2 linked regions of the Tamandua tetradactyla genome follow. The protein of the gene in region 2 purifies or fractionates together with the protein of the main gene of each other region. This does not show direct contact. Links are inferred from orthologs where the notes say so. Each region holds a gene or a part of one and is shown on either strand. Other genes may lie near its edges.

What was found.
Region 1: the proteins of DIS3L (region 2) and EXOSC4 purify together in Homo sapiens (affinity purification with mass spectrometry; 5 studies listed by BioGRID and IntAct, with this or other methods). This does not show direct contact. The link is inferred for Tamandua tetradactyla from reciprocal best matches to the Homo sapiens genes DIS3L and EXOSC4.

The regions. Positions count from the first base shown.
Region 1 is NC_135332.1:82,575,903-82,582,618, reverse strand, and holds EXOSC4 (exosome complex component RRP41), read left to right. Parts: upstream 1-4,201; 5' UTR 4,202-4,312; coding exon 4,313-4,483; intron 4,484-5,441; coding exon 5,442-5,648; intron 5,649-5,742; coding exon 5,743-6,102; 3' UTR 6,103-6,140; downstream 6,141-6,716. UniProt on the Homo sapiens protein: Non-catalytic component of the RNA exosome complex which has 3'->5' exoribonuclease activity and participates in a multitude of cellular RNA processing and degradation events.
Region 2 is NC_135340.1:83,321,607-83,328,514, forward strand, and holds the start of DIS3L (DIS3-like exonuclease 1), read left to right. Parts: upstream 1-3,873; 5' UTR 3,874-3,913; coding exon 3,914-4,052; intron 4,053-4,288; exon of another isoform or gene 4,289-5,090; intron 5,091-5,275; coding exon 5,276-5,429; intron 5,430-6,908. UniProt on the Homo sapiens protein: Catalytic component of the RNA exosome complex which has 3'->5' exoribonuclease activity and participates in a multitude of cellular RNA processing and degradation events.

The DNA.
Region 1 (6,716 bases), on a different chromosome or scaffold from region 2:
TTCAATCAACCTGAGGCGCTTATGGCACATAAAATAACACTTACAGACCCCAGGCAGTAGGCTGCAGGATCATTAGGGCAGCATTATTTGTAACACATGCAGATGTGTCATATGTGATAATTATAGCACAAAGAGGGGAGGGGATGGAGCTATAATGCGGCAAATTTTCTATATCTCACTGGAATTAAGTTTCTATATCTCACAGTGGCTCAGTGGCAGAATTCTCACCTGCCATGCCAGAGACCTAGGTTCGATACCCGGAGTCTGACCATGCCAAAAAAAACAACCAGATTCCATAAATTAAATCATATATTGTAATTCCTAAGACAACAGCTAATAAAATATAGCTAAAATCAATAAAGGAATTAAAATGGCACATTAAAAATACCCATGTAATATGCAATAAAGGAGGATCAGGAACAAAAAAGACAAAATACATAGAGAAAATGAATAGCAAAATGGCCACTGTAAATCCAACCATATTAATAATAACGTTAAATATGAAGGAACCTAAAGATCTAATCACAAGGCAGATTGTCAGACTGGATATATAAACAAGATCCAATCATAGGCTGTGTGCACAACTGTCGGTTTTGTGTCAATTTAGATAGGCGATCCTACCCAGATACTCAAACACTAATCTACGTGTTGCCCTGAAGAAACTTATACTTGTGATCAACAACCACAATCAGCTGACTATGTGTAAAGGAGATTACCCTCCACAATTCTGGTGACCTGATCCAATCAGTTGAAAGGCCTTAAGAGATAAACTGAGGTCCTCCTGAGGAAGGAATTCTGCCTGTATAGTGCATCATTAAATCCTGCCTGGGAGTTTCCTGCCTGCCCTAGGATTTAGCACTTGCCTCATCAGCCTCTGCAATCATGTAAGCCAATTCCCTGCAATACATCTCTCTCTCGTGTATCTCCTACTGGTTCTGTTTACCTGGTGGAACCCCAGCCAAACACACTATCCATACAAGGAACACATTTTAAATTCAGAGATACAAATAGAATGAAACCAAAAGAATGGAAAAAGAAATGCCATGCAAACAGCCATCATAATAAAGCTGGAGTGACCAATGTCAGACAAAACAGACTTTAAGACAGAAAATGTTCCTAGAGAACAAAGAGGGATATTTTATAATGATAAAAGGGTCAGTTCATCAGATACATAATAATTATAAACAATAAAAAACCGTAAATGATGGTTAATGAACCTGAAGAGGAAGCGATGGTTCTCGGACCCTACAAAGACCCTTTCTGTGCACTGACTGGACAATAAACAAATGCATAGCTACCTCTTTTCTAATACTATCTTAAATTTTCACCACTAAGTCACTATACCTCATGTGGCCCCTGAATTTGAATACATTTTCTATCACATTGTTTGCATAAGGGCCCCACAAAGCATCAGCGTGATTCTCCTATTAGATTGGGAATGTATGAAGGTCAGGTTTTGCCCCAAATCTGTCCAAGTGGATCCAAGGGCTCTTGGGCTTTGTGGCTATTTCCCTTGTTCCCCAAAGAACTGGAAGGTGGAAGACGCACACACTGGTTACTTGACCTGTGGAGGTGAGCCTTTATTAGAGGAAGACACACGTAGAAGTGCCTCAAAAATGTTTCTTCCCCACCAGAAGAGTAAGTGAAAGCAATGTCCTAACCCTGGGGAAATTAGAGGCAGGGGTGGTGGTCTCTCTCATATCCTCATCTAATCACCTGTGTAATCCTGAAAACCGAATGGATCATGGCAGACGGCCTGCTGGCCGATGTAAATTTGAGCAGGTGGTAACCCTAATCACAGCTACTGTTTTGAATGTGGTATCTTTACTAGAGCTTATCCACACAACCTCTGTACTTGACATACAGCCACTGGTTTAGTGAATGATTTTTCTTCTTTGCCCTTTAGTAAAGAAACTCAAAGGCTACTCACTTTTCATGGCAGATCTAACATGGACATATCTGGGTGGATGCAGTACGGAGTCTCTGATGAGCCCAGCCCTAGGATTCCAGAGCAAGGCCCTGCCCCCCATAGCAGAGTAGTCTAAATTTAAAAAAGCAGGTGCTCATGCAGACTGCTGGTCTGGCCTGGGACACAAGTGATGGTGAATGCTAACCCTGGCCAGTCTCTGGTCCACCAAGTTACAGGCCAGGCATGTGCAGTCAACATCCAGCCAGCCTCAAAAGAGACGCCTGCAACTACCTGTCTCAAGCAGCTCAGATGTGAACAAATGACTGGCAGGTGGGCCAGTCTCCCATGTAACTTGCCATGCCAACACCCTTTCTTCAATCAACGTTGACCCATGGCCTTCTTCCAGCAGCCAGGTGACAGAGAAGGAAACAACAGATCTGACTCAAAGGTGGGCTAGTGGCAACACAAGCTAACTCACCACCCTCCCCCTGTCTACGTGGGACATGATTCCCAGGGGTGTGGACCTTCCTGGCAATGTGGGACAGAAATCCTAGAATGAGCTGAGACTCAGCATCAAAGGATTGAGAAAAACCCTAGAATGAGCTGCGACTCAGCATCAGGGGATTGAGAAAACCTTCTAGACCAAAAGAGGGAAGAGTGAAATGAGACAAAGTGTCAAAGGCTGAGAAATTCCAAACAGAGTGGAGAGGTTATCTTGGAGGTTATTCTTACGCATTAAGTAGATATCATAACCTTGTTATTCAAGATGTAATGGAGAGGCTGGAGGGAACTGCCTGAAAATGTAGAGCTGTGTTCCAGTAGCCATGTTTCTTGATGATGATTGAATAATGCTAGAGCTTTCACAATGTGACTGTGTGATTGTGAAAACCTTGTGTGTGATGCTCCTTTTATCTACCTTGTCAACAGAGGAGTAGAACATATGGAATAAAAATAAATAATAGGGGGGAAAATGTTAAAATAAATTTAGTTTGAAATGCTAGCAATCAATGAAAGGGAGGGGTAAGGGGTATGGTTTGTATAATTTTTTGTTTTTGTTTTATTTCTTTTTCTGTTGTCTATTTTTCTGAATTGATGCAAATAGTCTAAGAAATGATCATGATGATGCATATGCAACTATATGATGATGTTGTGAATTACTGATTATATATATAGAATGGAATGATCAAAATAGGAATGCTTGCATTCATTTGGTGGGTTTTTTTATATTTAAAAAAATTAAAAAAATTATTAAAAAAAGGTGGGCTAGTGGGACAGATCAGCACTTGTCATGGGTGGCCTGTTGCACGTGGCAGCCCTTCTATATGGGAGGGGGTGGCGCTGAAGGACAGTGGTGAAGGGAAACCTCCCAATGGGCAGAAATGCAAGGTATATTTGGTTATCCACTTGCTATGGACAAGAAGAGGTAGCCTGAGATACACATAGCCACCACCTCCACGGCAGTGGTGAAGAGCTTTGCTGGTTCACCAGGAGCCTGAAGTGAACAAAACTGAACAAGACAGACAAAGAGACAAGCTCCTGATCAAGGGACTGATCTTACAAGCCCCCCATCAGACTAAGGGAATCCAGAGACAGGGCACGCAGAAGGCCCTCCACCCTGCCAGTGGATGTCCACCCCTTGTGGGCCGGCCGCTATTTGTCCGAGCTTGGAAAACAGGCTCACATATTTTTAAAAAAAGAAGAAGGAAAAACAAACTTTATTTCAAACCACCTGCTTTGACTCACTTCCTCTTCTGCGGGGTAGAGCTGGAGTGGGCGTTTGGGGGCTCGTCCCGCGGGGGCTGAGGGGGGAGGATTTGGTCAGGCTCCGGCCAGCGAAGTCGATGCTAGAGACGATTGTTAATCTACTCATGCTGGTGCAGAACTGGCTTCAGAACACACTCGCCGCCCCGTGCGGGGCGTCGACACAGCGAACAGATGAAGTTGGCTAAGGAAGGTTGTTCATCCAAAAAGAAGAAAGGTGGAGCCAGGCTGCCGAGGGTCGGGCCGGAGGTGGGCCGGACGGGGGCACGAGGGGCCAGCGGGCAGACCAGGAGGTGCGGAGCCCCGGGGCCCGCGAGAAGGGCTTTCCGCGACACACCCCCGGGGCAGGAGGGCGGGGACGCGGCTGAGGGATTTCGTCCTCGTCGGGGCTCCCCGCCCCGCCCCGCCCGGGAACCAGCAGCCGCGGGAGACCAGTTTCAAAAGCGCCGCAGCTCCGCCTCCCCATCCCCAGGGTCAAGACCCCCAGCTACCCGGAACCGGAAATGGTGTGTCCGCCCGGAGTTGTAGCTTCCTGGGGCCGGAAGTGGAACCTGCGGCCGCCGGGAGCCGTAGTTCGCTGGGGCCGGAAACGGGTGCCGTAGCTCTCCGCGCCGCGGGGATTTTGGGCGGGCGGCTGTCGGCATGGCAGGGCTGGAGCTACTGTCGGACCAGGGCTACCGCGTGGACGGGCGGCGCGCTGGGGAACTGCGCAAGATCCAGGCGCGGATGGGCGTATTTGCGCAGGCCGACGGGTCCGCCTATATCGAACAGGGCAACACCAAGGCGCTGGCGGTGGTGTACGGGCCTCACGAGGCGAGTGGGCGTGGGAATGCGCGGGCCGGGCAGCTCCCCGGCGGGCACTGGGGCCACGCGGGGCCTCTCGCCCCTCCGCTCCCACGGTGGTCGTCGGCCCCCGTCCCGTGCGGCCTGCACTTCTCCTTGCTGTTGTCTGAGGTGTCGAGTGCTCGCCCTCGGTGGCGTCCGTACTCTCCCGGCTGCACCGCTCCCTCCTTCGCCCCTCTCAGGTCTGCTCCGAAGTCGCCGTCCCAGGGCCGCGTCTTCCCAGACCACCGTCTGCGCGTGGCATATACCCACCCCTGCCAGCATACACTTCCCATCCCCTTCCCTCCCATCGCCTTAGACATCAATTTTGACCTCCTCATCGTTTGTCTCCTCCCCTGGAATGTAATCTCCATAAGAACAGGGACTTTTGTGCCACTTGTTTTATTGCCCTATCGCTAGTGCCAGAACAGTGCCCGCCGTGAAAGCACCGAAGTAATGTCTGCTTAAGCGTGTGAGTCTAGGAGCTCAGCTGCCCTGGCGATGGGATCAGAAACATGAAGGCTGGAGGGGTGGGGACAAGCAAGGCATGTTTGCAGGGCACAAAGGCTGCAGGTGAGGGACAGGGTATAAATTCTAAGTGAGGTTGAGTGGTTTCAAAAGAGGAAAGGACTTGGGATTTTATTTTATGTTTGACGGAAAGCCTTTGAAAGGTAAGCATGAAATGAGTCAGACTTGATATTTGTAAGCATACTCAGGGTCAGGAAGCATGGTAACGGGAAAGCCAATTAAGGCATACACAGCCAGAGAAGACAGTGGCTTAGAAACTGGGGAGTGGCCTTTCCTGGGGGCATGCTTTGGAGGTAATGTAGGTGCTCCTTGCTGAGAGTTGGAGGTGGAGAGAGAGAGCTGAGGTAAGACTGTGAGTCACAGAACAGGATAGTGTGTACTGGGAAGAGGGGGCTGGCTCATGTGCCTTTCCTTCCCCCAGATCCGGGGCTCCCGGGCACGAGCTCTACCTGACAGGGCGCTGGTCAACTGCCAGTACAGTTCGGCCACCTTCAGCACCGGTGAGCGCAAGCGACGGCCACATGGGGACCGCAAGTCCTATGAGATGGGCCTGCAGCTGCGCCAGACCTTCGAGGCAGCCATCCTCACACAGTTGCACCCACGCTCCCAGATTGACATCTATGTCCAAGTGAGCAGGCAACAGCCCTCAGCCTGGATAGGAGGAACAAAGGGTAGGGAGTCAGCAGCCTCATGGACAAATGGCTTTGGTGTCCCTTTGGCAGGTGTTGCAGGCAGATGGCGGGACCTATGCAGCTTGTGTGAATGCAGCCACGCTGGCAGTGCTGGATGCTGGGATACCTATGAGAGACTTTGTGTGTGCCTGTTCAGCTGGGTTTGTGGATGGCACAGCGCTGGCAGACTTGAGCCACGTGGAGGAAGCAGCTGGTGGACCCCAGTTGGCCCTGGCCCTGCTGCCAGCTTCAGGCCAGATTGCGCTGCTGGAGATGGATGCCCGGCTCCATGAGGACCACCTGGAGCAGGTGCTGGAGGCTGGCACTCGGGCTGCCCATGCCGTGCATACGCTGCTGGACCGCGTGGTCCGGCAGCATGTGCAGGAGGCCTCCCTCTTGCTGGGGGACTGACCCCCAGCCATCCCCCAGAATAAAGCCCTGTTCCCCTACCTGGATGTGCCCCAGTGTTTCAATCCCCTGCCTCCTCACAGCACTTCCCTGCCCTGGTGCTGGCTTCTGGAGGTGACCTAGGACCCTCCCCCTTCATAGACACATACCTCTTGGGGTGTCTGGATTGAAGCCCTGAAAAGGAAGATGTAGTTGGGCCAGAAGAGGGGTCCCTGGGTTGAGAGAACAGTGTGTGCCGGGAAGGGGTCAAGGCAGCTTACCTTGGCAGGATGAGCCAGGCCATTAGACCACACAGTCTGTTATCCTCACACCAGCAGATATGGCCCTGGCTTCCAGAGCCCTAAGCACAGGGGCTGAGGGTGAATTCAAGGGGCCTTGGGTATCCACCATGGAGATAGGGGACTTCTCCCATATCCTCTGGACCACAGCTTGGACTGGCTGACCCCCTTCCCCTAGGAGCTCCTGGAGTGCATCTTAACCATTTATTTTGGGCTCCTAAAATACCACAGGCACCCATTCTCAACTGCAGTTTTCTCCCCTCATTTGCCCCCTAGACTGAGATAGACCCTCGCCCTGTCCTACCAAGGCAACCTCTGCTTCAGCAAGCTCCTCTTCCT
Region 2 (6,908 bases):
AGCGCTCAGGCCCAGTGTGGTCCTACTAGGGCACTGCAGCCCAGACCAAACCAGAGCACTGTAGACCACTGATGGCCTCCTCCCTCCTGTACAATTTAGAACTGCTGTAGAAATCCTTGGATAGTTTCATTAGGGCGTTTAATATCTAGGGAGGGTTTTTAAAGCAAATAGCCATGTAATTCTTGGGCAAGTTACTTATTCTTTGTCAAGGGGGGATGTATGAGTTAGGGTAATGCTAGCTGCTGTAATAGAAGTTCATTTCTCCCTTATAAAAGAGTCCACTGCAGATGCTCCTGGGTAAGGGAGGCAGGGCTCTGCTCCACACAGTCCTTCAGGAACCCTTCCAAGATCCCCTGGGTATTGGCATCCAGCCAGCGGAAAAGGAAGGAGGAACATGCACTGGAGGATTTCACAGGTCAGGCCTGCAGATGGTGTCACTACATTCTGCCACAATCACATTGCCACACCTATCTGCAAGAAAGGCTGGAAACCATGGTTCATTTGTGCGTCTGTCAAAAAAGAAAACATGGTAACTGTGTGATTGTGAAAACCTTGTGTCTGATGCTCCTTTTATCTAGCGTATGGAGAGATGGATAAAAAATAAACAAATAATGGGGGAACAAAGGTTAAAATAAATTGGGTAGATGGAAATACTAGTTAATGGCCAATGAGAGGGAAGGGTAAGGGGTATGGTATGTATGAGTTTTTTCTTTTTTATTTCTTTTTCTGGAGTGATGCAAATGTTCAAAAAAATGATCATGGTGAAGAATACACAACTATGTGATGATCTCGTGAGCTACTGATTCCAGATATGGAATGTTCGTATGTTAAGAATGTTTGTATATTAGTATGTGTTCTAGTCTGCTAGCTGCCGGAATGCGATAAACCAAAAATAGAATGGCTTTTAAAAGGGGGAATTTAATAAGTTGCAAGTTAACAGTTTTTAGGCTGTGGAAATGTCCCAATTAAAGCAAGTCTACAGAAATGTCGAATCTAAGGCATCCAGGGAAAGATACCTTGGTTCAAGAAGGCCGATGAAGTTCAGGATTTCTCTCTCAAGTGAGAAGGCACATGGTGAACACAGTCAGGGTTTCTCTCTCAGCTGGAAGGGCACATGGTGAACACTGTCATCTGCTAGCTTCCTCTCTAGCTCCCCAGGAGGTGTTTTCCTTCTTCATCTCCAGAAGTCGCTGGCTGGTGGACTCTGCTTCGTGGTTCTGCAGCATTCTCTGCTGTGCCTTTCTCGTGGCTCTGTCATTCTTCTCTGCTCTCTCTCCATCTCCCACGTTCTCCAAAATGCTTCCTCTTTTACAGAATCCCAGTAAACTAATCAAGACCCACCTAGAATGGGTGGAAACACATCTCCACCTAATCCAGTTTAACCACCACTCTTGATTGAGTCACATCTGCATAGAGATCATCTAATTAAAGTTTCCAACATACAGTCCTGAATAGGGATTAGAAGAAACCGTTTCTCCCACAAAATGGGTTAGGATTAAAAAATGGCTTTTCTAGGGTATGTACACCTTTTCAAACTGGCACAGCATGTTAAGTTTTATCAATAAAATTTTAAAAATAATAATGATAAAGAAAACATGAATTTAACAAACAGAGAGCCTGTCTCTGCTACAGGAAATCACATATTACCTTGGACAATTGTCATAAAGATTACAGATGATGTAAGTAAAAAGAGATGAGCATAAAATGCCCAAGCAGAGACTAAATCGTGGGCTGAGGAGGAGTAGTCACAAACAGCAAGGGTTAGGAGGACAGCAGAGCAGACTAACTCATTTTGGGCCAAGGGGTTTGAGTCAGGAAGCTCAGGTAATCATTAGTGCTGTTTCACCAAAAGGTTTAGCTCTCTGCCTTCAAGCCACAGGTGGGAACGCACTTCCTGCCCTACCCAACTCCCAGTGTTGGGTATGTGTTCTACTAGTTCTGACTGAATCTTAATTGCCAGTGTGAAGTTCCCTAGAGGGTTGTCTCCCTTCTGCCAATGACAGCAAACAATATCCCAGAGAGGACCAACTCCATTAGCCTGAATCTTGAAGAAAGAGGGCAGAGCAGAGCTTCTGGGCACCCACGATAAACATGTTATTTTAAGCCACTGAGATTTGTGGGGTTGTATGTTATTGCAGCATGACCTAGCTTATCCTGGCTGATGCTGACACTTTTCTCAGGCAGGAGGCAGCACATGGCCTGTGAGGTAAACAAACAAAAGGGCATTCTTGTGCATTTAGATCATCAGTTCCAAAAACGAAGGAATCATGCTTTTAAAAACATAATTTATACATTATTGCCACAAGTCAAAGAAGTACTTGATGCGCTTATTTAAAATATGAAAAAAAAAATTCAACTTTGAGAGAAGCCCCAGATAATCTCTCTTCCTTAAAAGATCGCCCCAATTTGGAGAAAGTTTAAAGCTACAAAGTGCAAAAAAGGATATAAAGGACATATTAATATCTAATCAACATTCCCTGCCCTCTCTGATATAATCAAAAGTAAGAGAAAAATGAAAATAACAGAGCCTTGGAGGGAATTGTAGACAAATGTCTAAAGCATTTTTATGCAGACAAATCTGGCTACTTGCCTGTCCCATAGGATCTCTAAAGCCGGACCTCGGGGTTAGGGAGGGCCTCCTGCACCACAAGATTCCCTTGTCGGTTGCCTTATGGACCCTCCTGGTTCTGTGGCTGGTGGACCAGCACTGCGCTGTTTCCCTGATGAGTGCAATTCCACGTATTTCATCTCTGATCTCACTCACATCATCCACACTGCAAGATTACTTGAGATAGAAATATGAGGGACCATGACTCTGTTTAATATGTTTCCCTAGAATGAAGTAAGTAAAGGGTACCCCCAGTTCTGCTCACTTCAGCATCATAAGAAGCTCTGATGTTCCTGACGGGCTGGTTGAACTGCCTTAACTAGAAGTCACCAAGCAGACCATCAACTCCTTAGAGGCAAAGCTGTATTTTATTCATCTTGTAAAGCACAGTAATTAGTTAAAAGCCTGCTTTGGATTCAGCCAGATTCTGGTTTGAGTATTGATTCTACCATTTAATAATTGGGCAGCCTTGGCCACTTAACCTCCCTAAGCGTCCTAGTCATAAAATGGGGATAATGATGCCCAACTCCTTTGACTTGTGGAAACTGAACGTGACACTTGTGTGTAAAGCTGTTGATATTGCTCAAAAGTTTTTGTTCAATCCTTGGAAGAAGATCTCCATAACAGCTACAAAAATGTAAATTGTGATTATATCGGGAGTAGTTTAAAAGATAATTTCATTGCCAGAGGCTGCAAATGCCATAAATGTTGGGCCTGAGTAGATAGCATTTAGCTCAAGGGAAGGGATTAGTTTCACTTTATCTACATTGTTTGAATTTTTATACGTATTAAAAATACATGATATCTAAAATAAATACAATCTTTAAAAAAAAAAAGTTGAACTGGCAGCGTGGCTAGCTTATTTGCTGAATCTTTTAGCTTATAGGGATAGCAAGAGCATTGAACAGAAAACACTTATAATCATCCCATGTTAACACTCCCTTTCCACGAGGCCTCTGGGGTAGAAACGAGGCATAATGATCCTCTGTAGTCGCAGCAAATATTTCTTCCGATAAATTTAAACCAGCCTCTGTATTACCCTTGTCTCCAGTAAACCCTTTTGGGAGGGTGGTTCCCGCCCCTCCCTGTCTCCGCGTAATTGGGGGGTGGAGGGAAACTGAGGCGGGGTGGGGCCGGGCCCGGGCCAGGGCCGTTGGGGCGGTTCCGGGGCCCGGAGCGCTCAGGCCGCCGCGGGTCGGCCGGGCGGGGAGCCCCACGCGGTCAGGCCCAGGGGGCGGGCCCGGAGCCGCGGCCTGGCCTGCGCGGCGCCCGCGGCTCCCCTGCAGCTCCCTGAGCGCCGCCATCATGCTGCAGAAGCGGGAGAAGGTGCTGCTCCTGAGAACCTTCCAGGGCCGGACGCTGCGGATCGTGCGGGAGCATTACCTGCGGCCCAGCGTGCCCTGCAGCAGCCCGCTCTGCTCGCAGCCCGCAGCCTGCCGCAACGGTCAGGGGCCGGGGCCGGGGCCGGGGCCGGGGCCGGGGCCGGGGCCGGGGCCGAGGGCCGAGGCGGAGCGCGAGGCCGCGGGGGCCTGAGGCAGACGTCGCGGGGCCTCCGCCCGCGCCCAGGCACCACTTCCAGCCCCGCTGCGGGCCGGAGCGAGAGTCGGGCGGGCTGAGAGCCGCAGAGACGGCCCTGGTAGACTCCTTCCCGAGCTCTAAAAACGGGGCGCCGCTAGCCCCTCGTGAACCCGAAGGGCCGAGAGCCGGGGGTCCTCACAGCGGAGAGGCCGGTGACCTGGCTGCTGGGAGAGGCCGGTGGGCTGTGGCGCGTGTGTGTGACATGGGGAGATCCCGGGAGCGCTCAGCCCTTGCGGGAAAGCCGTGGCCGCGGAGCACACATTTGCCGGTCATTGCTCATCTAACATTCCTTGCTTTGCTCTCTACAAATGCCCCGTCCGGCCAGCCCGGATCCCTCCGACGTCTGTCCGGGGGAGCCTGTTCCCTCTCCGCTGTAGGTTTAGTGAGTGGCGTCGTTGTACGGGAAGGCCGTGGGAAGGTTGCATCTGGACTTCTGTGTGCTAGACCCGGCCCACCTCGATATCTGGGCTGCCAGGGTGGCTGAATTAATGATGAACTGCGGGTTCTCTGGCCTCGGGTGCAAAATGAGTGTGTGGGTCCATCCTCAGTTTTGAGGTTAAAGTGAAGCCCTCAGTGACAGGTTGGCTAACCAGTTCCCTGGAACGTGGGTTGTGCCCAAGCCCTGACACTGCCCACTGCTGCCGCTGAGCATCTTTTCTGGTCAGTTCAATCCTTCCGCCCCTTAGAGACTTTTGAGCTTGTTCCAAAACTTGTAGTAGAACCCATTTGAAATTGTCCCATTTGAATGTGGTCGTACGTCGATGATGAGATGAGACAGAAATATTCAGATTGTGCTGAACATTTGCTTTTTTGAAAAAACAGAATCAGCCATATTCTCCCGCTGCAGAACTGGCAACACCATAAACCAAGCGGCGTGTTTATCACAGCTTCTGGAAAACTGAAGGTGCTGAATTTACCTGCAGTTTGGACCTCAACCAAAGTAGATTTGTCCTTTTTTTTTTTTTTTAACTTCACAGTGTAGTTAAGGTTGGAAGTTATTTTGCACACCAGGGCTCCATGACATTGAAATAGTAATAAACCAGATTTGAAAATGTGGTCTAATCTCTTAACTTTTGAATTATGTTTCAGATGGGAAACTCTTGTCTAGTGATGTGACTCACTATGTGATCCCAGACTGGAAAATTGTTCAAGATTGCCTTGAGATCCTCGAGTTTCCTGAGTTGAAGGGAATTATTTTTATGCAAACGGCTTGTCAAGCTGTGCAGCATCAAAGAGGCCGGAGGTAACTGTTTTGCATTATTTATTTATTTATGGTGAGGATTTCCCCCCCCCACCCCCCCCCCTTAGAAAAGGAGAAGAAAAGGAATTCGTTATTTTGTCAGAAAGGACTTTTTTTTTTTTTTTAACTCATTTGGTATTCTCTTTGCTAGTGAAGAATGCGGTAACATTATTTTATATTTCTGCTTCAACACCTGACCAAAAGATCTAAATGTAGATCAATAAACTGCAGTGTCCCCAGTATGTGGGTATTTAAGATTCTAGTGAGAAAAGGCTTTTGGTGTGCATTTTTATAGTAGCAGGGTTATTATTTATATTTTGTTGATAGTGTTTATTATTTAATCCTGTTTGTAGAGAGATTGTTTCAGAAGCTTACGTTCTTTTTTTGGGAAAAAGAGAGTATGTAAAAATTTTAGACTTCTTTATTGTGGATACAAAGTATACTCGTAATCATTGATTCATTTAAACCAGAAATAACTTGTTTTATTTTTAGATTACTAGTGTAACTATCAATCATAGTTATTGTCTTTGCTAAACAAAGGATTTCTGATTTCTACTGGTCTAAAATACTTGCCTTGTACCTCAGTGAAGACTAATTGTCCACGTTTAAAATAAGGACCCTAAAAAAATGGCTTTGCTTCATTTAACATTGGGAAAGGGTTTACGATTTTAACTTGGAGGCTATATGGAAATAGCATATTAAAATTATATATCCAACCTCTTAACTCCCCAAGTTGTTTAAAAAGCAGAAATCATGTGTTTCTTCTTTTTCAAATGTTATGGTTTCTTCCAACCTTGGTAGTAAAAGATGAAATGTTTTTATTTCTATATGAAAATGATAAATTGTCTTTATTATGTACTCAGTTCAAAAAAATGTGCATTAACAAGGTTGGGTGCAGGTCTTTCAGATAGAATATTTAAAAATGAGCTTGAAGTTGATTTTGCTCAGACACTAAGATATAGATGTTTGTACACATCCAAGTTTAAATGCTGCTCCAGGTGTCATATTTCAATTTCTACTACTAAAATCAATTTGTGGTTATCATTTGAATTGCTAACACACTGCTGAGCCTTTTCAACTCCTGTTTTCTGAAATATTTTTAATATTAAGGATTGTTTTAAAAACCAATTCTTGGGACATTCAGAGGCAACGAGTTGGAATTTAAATGTCTTTTCTCCTAAACATTTCAAAAGTAGTTACGTCAATGAAAAAGTATTGGTTTTCAAGTAGTTTACCGTGTCTCTGAATATTCTAAATGTGAAAACAAAAGATGAGGACTTATGAAACAGGCCCTTACAACACCCTGCTTTTTCCATTTGATAAGCACTTTTTGAGCTCCAAGTTGCAGACCTTAGAAAGTAAAAGAGAACAGTCCCTACTTTGCTCAACAGACCTATTGTCGGGTTGGGGTTAGATGCAAAAAGCAAGAAGATAATCATAAAGCATCTTTGACACATGAAGGATAATATAATATGCACTGTG